Rattus norvegicus: one gene and its partner. The protein of the gene in region 1 purifies or fractionates together with the protein of each later gene. This does not show direct contact. Links are inferred from orthologs where the notes say so. Each region holds a gene or a part of one and is shown in the gene's direction. Other genes may lie near its edges.

Region 1 (4,569 bases):
GAATAGTTTTATGGTTGGGAGGTTCACCACAACATGAGGACCTGTATTAAAGGGTCGCAGTATTAGGAAGGTTCAGAAACCACTGTCTTCGATGGATTTGTGTGTGGTTTTGTTTTGCTGTTTTTATTGTTACGCTGCCACATCTGGCCCATTTGTGGTTTTAATTTTTAAAAAAAAATTTACTTGTATTATTTTCAGCTATATAAGTGTGTGGAGGTGGTGGGCATGCGCGTATGAACATAATGCTATAATTTCAGGCAGTTGTTAGCCCTGTGAGTGTTGGGAATTGAACTTAGGTCCTCTGCAAAAGTAGCAAGTATTTTTTTTTAACTGCTGACCCATTTCTATTTGTGTTCTTAAATATATAAGATGACATTAAAGTCACCCTGTAGCCTAGGCTGGCCTCAAACTCGAGATCCTCCTGCCTCAGCCTCCGGGTTTGTGGCAGGACAACTAGTGTACTAGATTTTTCAGTGCAGAATTAAGTGTTTGGCCTGAAGGATGAGGTTTTTGCAAGGCCAACAGGGAGCCAGCATACCATCCAGGAAACAGACTGGCCAAAGGCCACGTGGATTGATTCTCCGTAAGTTTGGGGGGGGGGACCCAAACAAGACGATCATAAGCTAAACCCATTCCCTGTCTCTGTGCCTTAGTTTCTCCATCTGTAAGTCAGGAACTGATGTTTTCTGAGAGTTAACGCCTTTTACCCTGCCAGGTGGAGCTCTACGGGAGGGGCGTGTCCGCATGATGATGTAACTCTGGGCGGGGCCTATGGGTCCCACTGCGGAAGGCTTGGAGGGAGGTTGGGCTGACTCTGCCCCGACGTGTTTGCGTGGAAGGGGCTCCAGGGAGGGTCTTCGAGCCTCTGAGCCTGCGGGATTCTTGGGACGATCCTACTATCCTCTGTGGGCAAAACTAAGCCATAGCTGGGCACGCGTGGGAAGCAGATCGGGGTCCCACCTCCAACCCTTCACTCCTAGTCTATCCTCCACCTTCTTCACCCCCGCCCCCACCCCAGCCGCGACCCGGCGGCGGTGAGTCAGCGGCCCGTCGCACCCCCTCGCTCACTTCCTCCACACCTTCCCCGGAGGGTGGGGGGCGGCGAGGGGTGGGGCCCGACCTGAGAAGAGAGATCTGGGGAACAGAGGATGTACGGAAGTGTTACTTAAAGGTGGAAATTAATGAGATCCTTTGCTTAACCAGAAGAACCCCCGCCCTCCATAAAAACTGAACAGAAGTCCACCGAGCGAGTTGGAATGGAGAACTGGCACCCCCAGATCTCTACTAAAGAATTCCATAGTAGAGACAGCTAGAGATCAAAGAATGGCCCCTTCCCTTCCAACAAGCTTCCCCCTCCAACTCGGGAGTGAGGCCCAGGGTGCACCCCCACGCCACAAGACTGAGAGGAAGGAGTGCAATTGCGGAAGACCTAGGTTCCGCGTTGCCTTTTAAACGGTCTCCATCCCCCGCCTGGAGGCGTCCACGGCCCCTTTAAGGCGCAGGGCATTGTGGGTATGGGGAGTGGAATTTTGGAACGAAATGTAGCAAAGAGAGTACAGTAGTAAGAGTAACCGCGTAGGTGCTGCCGGCTGAGGGGGTGCGCCGGCGAGGTTCGGACGCTGCACCCCGCTTTCCATCGCAGGGGATCCCAGCACATCAGAGCACCGGAGGGAGGAGGCGCCTGAGCACCCGCCCGGGCCCGGTCCACGTTCTCCCCAGGAAGCTGGACTCTATGGGGCGGGACCCCGAGAGAGACTGAGCAGAACCTGGAGCCAGCCCCGCACCCCTGCACTTCCAATCAGGGGCGCCCCGGGAGCACTCCCCGTGGGCGCGCCGCCTGCCCTCTGCGCAGCCATGAGGTGAGCCCCGAACCCTCCAGCCGGGTCCCAGCCGGGACCCGGCTTCGCGCCCCGCCTTTGTCCCCCTCCCCCCAGCTCGTTCGGGGCTGGATTTAGGGGACACAGCGCTTTGAGCGTCCCAGATCTGGGCCGATGTCTCTTGGAGCGATCTCTAAATATCGACACCCCGTTTCTCCACACTACTCCCTAAAGGCTTGGGGCGGTGCCGGCTGAGGTTCTCTTGATGGCTTTCAGGTTTAGGGGCGCTCTCGGGACTCAGAATTTGAAGACTTTTGGGGGGAGCACCTCCGAGTTCGCAGATAAGTAGAACGTCGCAGGGATGAACTGGTATAAGTGGGCTCAGAGTTACTGCCCCCAAACTCAAAACCAGGTGGGAGGCTGGCTTGAGAACCCGAGCCCTGAAACTCTGAGTCTCGGGTTGTGGTCTTCGGACCCTTGCGTCTGGGGCACTGGATGAGAGTCCCAGAGTGGAACCGCGGTCCTTAACTTTGGGGGTACTTCTTGATGTCCCAAAATTTGGTGGACACGGAGGTTCTCTGGTGGAGGGGTTCTTGAGACTCTGACCCACGGGGCCCAGAGGGTCTGGATGGGACTCTTCTCCCCTTAGGCACCCAGGTTGGGTGGGTCCTAGGACCCGGGAGCACTCCAGGCCCAGGGCGGCTCCTGGCCCCCGGGCCAGAGGACGGTTCTAGTTCCACCCCCACCCCCTAACCTGGTGGCCTGTGAGGGAGGGGGCGCGGCAGCTGGGGGAGGGGGGGCCTTTGTCTTCCTGACTCACCTGTCGAGACAGCTGGTGTGGGGGGCGGGCCCCCGAGTGAGCACTGTGGCCAGCTGCTTTTCCCCACACCACGGCCCCTCCCCTTGGGCTCAATGTCGCCGGGTGTCACCCCCCTTCCCCAAGCCGTGGGATTGGAGGAGGGGGCGCTGGAAAGCGTCAAGGTCATAGCCTTCTCCCTCAGGGACCCAGGCTTACCCGCTTCTTTCAGCTCTCTTCCCAGGAATTTAATCCTGTGGGTGAGGGGGACTCAGAGATTTTTTTTTTTTTTAATGTCTTCTCTGGGACCTGCCCTGAACTCCTGGGCTCACCTGAGGGTGGGGCCTGGGCTGGTAGAGGCCTCCCCTCCTCTCAGCCCCAGCCCCCCCATAATCTCTCCCTTGGGGCCACATCTTGACAATACTATCTCCCTTCCTCCACTTTGGCTGGGACTTCCTGCCCCAAAGCCCCTGGTTAGAGGAGGAGTCTCCTGGGGACAGTTTGGGCTTAACCCCCCATGTGCACATCCTTCAGTCTTGCCCTCTGACATCTAGGTGACATTCTTCTCTAGGGCCCTGAGCTAGGACCCCTCCCTCTTTCCCTCCCTCCCAAGTTTGTCCCTTGGCATGTGGGAGTGTTAGCGTCTGGAGCTAGAAGGGGGACATCGAGACACCCTGGAGACTTCCTGCCTGGCCTTTCCTCCCCCGTGGGAGCTCTGTCCCCCTAAAGGGGGTCAGTTCCTCCACTACCCCCCTCCTCTCTTGCTGCCCCCAGCCCCGCCCCTCCCCCACCCGTTTCCGGTCCCAGGCCCGGTGGAAGGCGGATGGCGGATGTCCGAGTTAGTGCCGCCTCACTCGCTGAGACCGTAAAAGGGCAGGAGCAACGTCTAGGCCGGCCCCTTACACCCCCACCCCCAGTCCCCGTCCTTCTGCAGCCCGTCCCCCTCTGGCTGTGGCCAGGGCCAGACCTCCCTCCCCTGAGGGTAGGCACAACTTGAACTGAAGGGTAGGCACAACTTGAACTGAACGAGCCCCCACCCTCTTAGGAGAGGGTCTCCCTCGTCCTTGGTCACTTGCTTGGCTGTGTCACTTCTCCAAGGACAGCTAGGATTCAGAGAGACACAGAGACAGACAGACCCATTCCTTATTCCTTGCTGGGTAAACTGAGCCCCACCCCCCCAGACTTTGAAGCTTGGGTCCAGTGCCCTCAGAGGTTCTTATGCTGTGGTGGGGAAGGGGGCAGGACTGGTTTGACTGGGGACAGCCCTGTGGGGAGTGGGAAGGGAGGTGGTGATTGAGATGGAAAATTACAAGATACAGTTCTTTTTCTCCCAGTTTGACAAATATTTGCCGAGTGTCTGCTGCATCCGGGAGCTGGGAAAAGGCAGAGAAGGGGTCAGAGGTCTGAGGGCTCTTGGGCAGAATTCTGAAAGCTTCACTCCTTTCCTCTTGCAATAACGCTAGCTGCGGTTGTTATTTTCTTTCCCTTTTAAGTGATGTAGCGGGTTCAGTCACACATCTTCTTTCCATTTTCATCTCCACGGCAGTTAAGGGCAATGAAAGTACAAACTTGTGCCCCTGGTCTTACCCCCACTTTACAGGTAGTAAAACTGAGGCTCAGCAATGTTAAGGAAATGGCCTGTTAAAGTTTAATGGTTTGGGAGTATGATGTGGTGACTCATGCCTGTAACGCAGTACTTAGGAGGTGAATGCAGGAGGACCAGGAGCTGGAGGCCAGCTTGGGTTATTGAGTCCCAGTTTCAAAAATGTATAAAAATCAATTTAGCGGTGGTAAGGTTTGAATTTGTACCTAGGATTGTCTAAGTCTAGTAATATTACAAAAAGAAAAAACTAGAGCTGTCTATGTTTTTTACTTACCATTACCATTCCTCCACCCACCCACCCAATAAGGTCATCTTCTGCTACTTGGCAAGTTGGAGGCCAGTCTGGGCTGCAT
Region 2 (4,452 bases), on another chromosome or scaffold:
TTATCATCCTGCCACTCCCGGCAGGATTTTTTCACCCCCGGGCGGGAGGCGCGCAGATCAGAGGTCAAGGGATGGCGGGCGCAGACCGCCACGTGCCCCAGCGCGGCCCCGCCCGTGACTCAGCCACGCGGCTGTCGAAGAACTAGGGCTGGGGGGGGGGGTCGTGGGGAGCCAGAATTTTGAGATGAACATCAGGGAGCCTAACCCGGCTCCAGAGAGGCAGCGAACCAAATCCCTCCACTGGGAGAGGCTGCATACCCCGGCGCCCCTCCTCCGAGGGACCGGAAGCGGCCGAGCCCCTCGGAGGCTAGGGTCCCGAGTGATTCCTTCACTCCCTCCAGCCTCACTGGCCTGCCATTCCCCCCTAGACCTGCACGGCGGCAAGTGACCTGATCGCACACAAATACTTAGCAAAAGTTTTACGGGAAAAGAAGAAAGCCCCAATGGGTCCAAAGTAGAGGGGACTTTCCTCTTCTTATAAAAGTTGTCATTCTTGGTACTTTAGTATTCTTCCGCCTTGAAAAATGAGTCCCGTCTTGTCACCCGGCTGGCGCCCCTATTCAAGTGACCTCTGTAGTCAGGGTTCAGGCATGGGGCGAGGCTCTGAGCTGGAGCGGATCCAGCGAAGGGAATGATTCCTCTGGAATATAGGGACGCGCTCGAATGAACCCAAGTGCGTCCACGGCAGACGGTTGGGACAGGTGCCCTTGTTGGAGACCTTTAGTACTGAAAATTACTAGAGTATTATGTCAATTTCACTTTTGTTCCCTTATCGTTTAAGTAAAATGTGGAGAAGGGTGCAGCCCACAAAACCCAGGGCGTCTGCCCGTCCCGCCTGCTGGGGACGCGTCTTCCCGGTTACGAAGGTCCAAATCTGTTCTGCCAGGCGCGCGCTCGCGCAGCCAAGCCGCTAGCCCCAACCGCCCCACGCGCTGTCTTCTCACTGCCCCGGCGCAGGCGCGGGCGCACGCGCCGCCGCCGCCCGCCGTTCCTTCCCTCCCGCGGAGGTGGGGGTTGGGGGGTGGAGGAATGATTCGGTTTAACCCTGGGTTCCCGGAACCCACTTTAATTTGCTCAATTTTACTAATTTTCCTCTTTTCCCCCTTCTTCCTCTGGTTTCCTCCTTCTGCGGCAAAGTGGTTTGTATCCCGTACGAATTGGAGCGAGCCCTAACCTTAGCCTCTCTCTTGCCACCACCACTCTAGCCTTTCGCGTGGCTTTCCATCGAACTCGGCAAATTTTGCAAAAGGGGGGAGGGCTTTTTAAAATTGCATTTGCAAAAGTTCGCTATCTGGCCTGGCAAGAGGGGGGGACGGAGGGAGGGAATGGGGAGCAGGCCCCGCCCCGCCGCCCTTTGCAAATAAAAATCTAGAGGGGGGGGAGGAGCAGGAAGTGGCGGTGCGAGGGCTGCTGCACAGCTAACACAGCCGCGTTCCGGACGGCAGCGCGTGCCCCGAGCTCTCTGCCTTCCCCCGCCCGTCAGCCCGAGCCCAGCCCGCGATCCCAGCAGCAGCCCGCAGAGCAGCCCCAGCAGCAGCGCCATGGCCGGGTGGAACGCCTACATCGACAGCCTTATGGCGGACGGGACCTGTCAGGACGCGGCCATCGTAGGCTACAAGGACTCGCCCTCCGTCTGGGCCGCTGTCCCCGGGAAGACCTTCGTTAGCATTACGGTACTGCGAGGCTTGTGCGGTCCGGGGCATTGATCAGGCTTAGACCCTCTGGGAGACTTGGGTGGGGGCGGGCGCAGTCTAGCGAGGGCAGCGAGAGGCCGTGATCCGGTCCTCTTCCTGAAGCGGCGCGAATGGCGGCTGCATGAAACTAGGTCCCTCTGTTGCCCCCCAAGCTCTACGCCCATCGGCGGCGGCGCCCATCTCGCCCGCCGCCCCGCTTTCTGCGACGGGGCGTTACATCCGGGGCACAGGGCGGGGAGGGGCGCGTCGCCCGGTGCGGCGGCCCACTTCCGCCTCCTCCAGGGCGGGGCAGGCACGCGCTGCAATTTTAGCCTGGGATTATGATTGATAAGGGGCTTGGGGAGCTTGGACTCCCCTTTGGGCCGACTGCTCGCTCTCCCTCCACCATTGTTTCCCCTTATGCTGATGGGAGCGCCAGGCGCGTGGCCTTGGGCCCTGCAGGACCTCGGTAGCACCCTGCCCCTCCCAACTCCGTTAGAGAGGGCGAGGCCGCCACCACACACACCCCCAATTCGGCACGTTAGCCTCAACATTCCTGTGAGGCCAATCCCGGAAGTCCCCTCACCCTCCCTTCCCGCCATCCGGCAGGGCTCGGAGTAGGGGAACTTTGCGAGAAGTTCTGAGACGGTAAAAGTGAAGGGATAAGGCTGCTGCTGTCCCTGCCACCACCTTCCCTGACCACACTGCCCGGAAGTGGGGAGGGGGAGCGGAAGTTCGAATGGGGGGAAGGGGATTTCCGGGCGGGAGGGTACCGGATATGGGGTTTGGGGTTTAAGGGGGAGAAGGAGTAAGGTTCTCTGGGATGTCTAGACTCAAAAGACTAGTCTCCTGCCCTTATAAACTTTTTAAACTTAATTAGAAAGCCCCCAGGGGTCAGCTTCCTTATCTTGGGGCATAGATACCTAGACCTAAACTCTAGCTCACCGGGAGACCCAGGAGTCCCGGCTCCTAACAACGCCTGCAGAACCTTTGACCAAATAAGGACAAAGTTACTTCTCCTCCCTTCCTACCCCCTCCCTTCCCCTCTCCGCTTCTGCTTTTCCTGAAGGACTGTTCTGAGCATCCAAAGGCTCCCCCCTCGATCATTGATCCGTTTTTGGTACCCAACATTTCTTTCTTTGCTTTTTCTATTAAGCATGAAAATCTAATTCTTCAAAGGAATATTTTTCCTTCCTTGGACTCATTTAATAGAGTTTAGGATCATTGTCGTTCTCTACACTACCCACAGTACTGTTTTCCCCAACTTTTGATGGTGTGTATGAAACACCTTCACCTCCAACTCCACAGTACATAAGAGGACAAGTTATGCAGGTGCACTAACTTAATGAGGTGATTGATTCTTCTAGCCAGCTGAGGTTGGTGTCCTGGTAGGCAAAGACCGGTCAAGTTTTTTCGTGAATGGGCTGACACTTGGGGGCCAGAAATGTTCTGTGATCCGGGACTCACTGCTGCAAGACGGGGAATTTACAATGGATCTTCGTACCAAGAGCACCGGGGGAGCCCCCACCTTCAATGTCACTGTCACCATGACTGCCAAGAGTAAGTTTGATTCGCTGGCTTTGAAATCCCTAACTTCCTGTTAGTCACTTGGTTTTATGTGTGTCAGAGCTGCAAAACAGTATTTACTCTGCTGGATATGGGAACCTTGGATGGCTCCCCATATCCCCATTGTGTAAAGAAACTACATTACCTCTTAAGTGTCTTCTTGCTTTGAGCTTTTTGAGATTAGTTTGTTGGGAGTAGACTGTTGGAATCTTAAGTCAGCATTTGGCTCTAATCTTGAGTTCTGTAAAGACCTGAGGTAGGAAGCAGTTCCTAGCCACATCAGTCTACAACCTGTAAGCCTATGACCTCTAAATTTTGTTCTTTCTTTACTAGTCTTAAAGCTTTTTTTCTTCTTTGAAAAGCTCTATTGTTTTAGGGTGACTGACAGCCTGCCTGTGTATAAGGGGAGGAGGGAATGAGGTTAGGTTACAACCCCCGGGGCTGGACAGCTGCTGAACAGCTGGCTGGGTTGAATTGTGACACCTGGGTCCTAGCTTCCTTTCTCTTTCCTCCAGCGCTAGTCCTGCTGATGGGCAAAGAAGGTGTCCACGGTGGTTTGATCAACAAGAAATGTTATGAAATGGCCTCTCACCTGCGGCGTTCCCAGTACTGACCTCATCTGTCCCTTCCCCCACCGCTCCCTTTGGCTTTTGCACCCCCTTCTTTCCATACACACACACACCATTATTTTTTGGGCCATTACCCCATTTCCCTTATTGCTGCCAAAACCACATGGGCTGGGGGCTGGGGCTGGATGGACAGATACCTCCCCCTACCCATACCCCCTCCTGTGTGTGTTTGGGAAAAAATTGTTTTTGGGTTTCATTTTTGTTTTACTTTTTTTTTGTTTTGTTCTTTTTTTTTTTTCTGAATAAAAAAAGATTCTACTAACAAGGACCTGTGTGGTTTGCACTTCGCATTAGTTGGAGACAGGCACTGTGACCCACCTCAATTATGTATCTGCGTCTTGATGTGACATAGGCCCCTCTATAGTGTTATTTCCATTTCAGGTCCAGTTGAATTAGTATGTAATGGAACATAGCCACCCAGACCAGAGAATGGGTCCAAGCCTGCGGGTGAGGCAGGGCCACTTGAGTCATCCTGTGTAGGTGGGGCTCCCCCTCCCTGAGTCATAGCAAATGCAGCCAGGGCTGTCCCCCTGACAAGTTAATCTTATGAGGTGATTATTTTTCCAGCATTTCACCTGTGTAAA

Evidence for each region.
Region 2: the proteins of Vasp (region 1) and Pfn1 purify together in Homo sapiens (affinity purification with western blotting; 3 studies listed by BioGRID and IntAct, with this or other methods). This does not show direct contact. The link is inferred for Rattus norvegicus from reciprocal best matches to the Homo sapiens genes VASP and PFN1.

The regions. Positions count from the first base shown.
Region 1 is NC_086019.1:88,050,063-88,054,631, reverse strand, and holds the start of Vasp (vasodilator-stimulated phosphoprotein), read left to right. Parts: upstream 1-1,676; 5' UTR 1,677-1,854; coding exon 1,855-1,859; intron 1,860-2,161; exon of another isoform or gene 2,162-2,178; coding exon of another isoform or gene 2,179-2,186; intron 2,187-4,569. UniProt on the Homo sapiens protein: Ena/VASP proteins are actin-associated proteins involved in a range of processes dependent on cytoskeleton remodeling and cell polarity such as axon guidance, lamellipodial and filopodial dynamics, platelet activation and cell migration.
Region 2 is NC_086028.1:55,863,560-55,868,011, reverse strand, and holds Pfn1 (profilin-1), read left to right. Parts: upstream 1-1,424; 5' UTR 1,425-1,541; coding exon 1,542-1,673; intron 1,674-3,040; coding exon 3,041-3,233; intron 3,234-3,754; coding exon 3,755-3,852; 3' UTR 3,853-4,130; downstream 4,131-4,452. UniProt on the Homo sapiens protein: Binds to actin and affects the structure of the cytoskeleton. At high concentrations, profilin prevents the polymerization of actin, whereas it enhances it at low concentrations. By binding to PIP2, it inhibits the formation of IP3 and DG.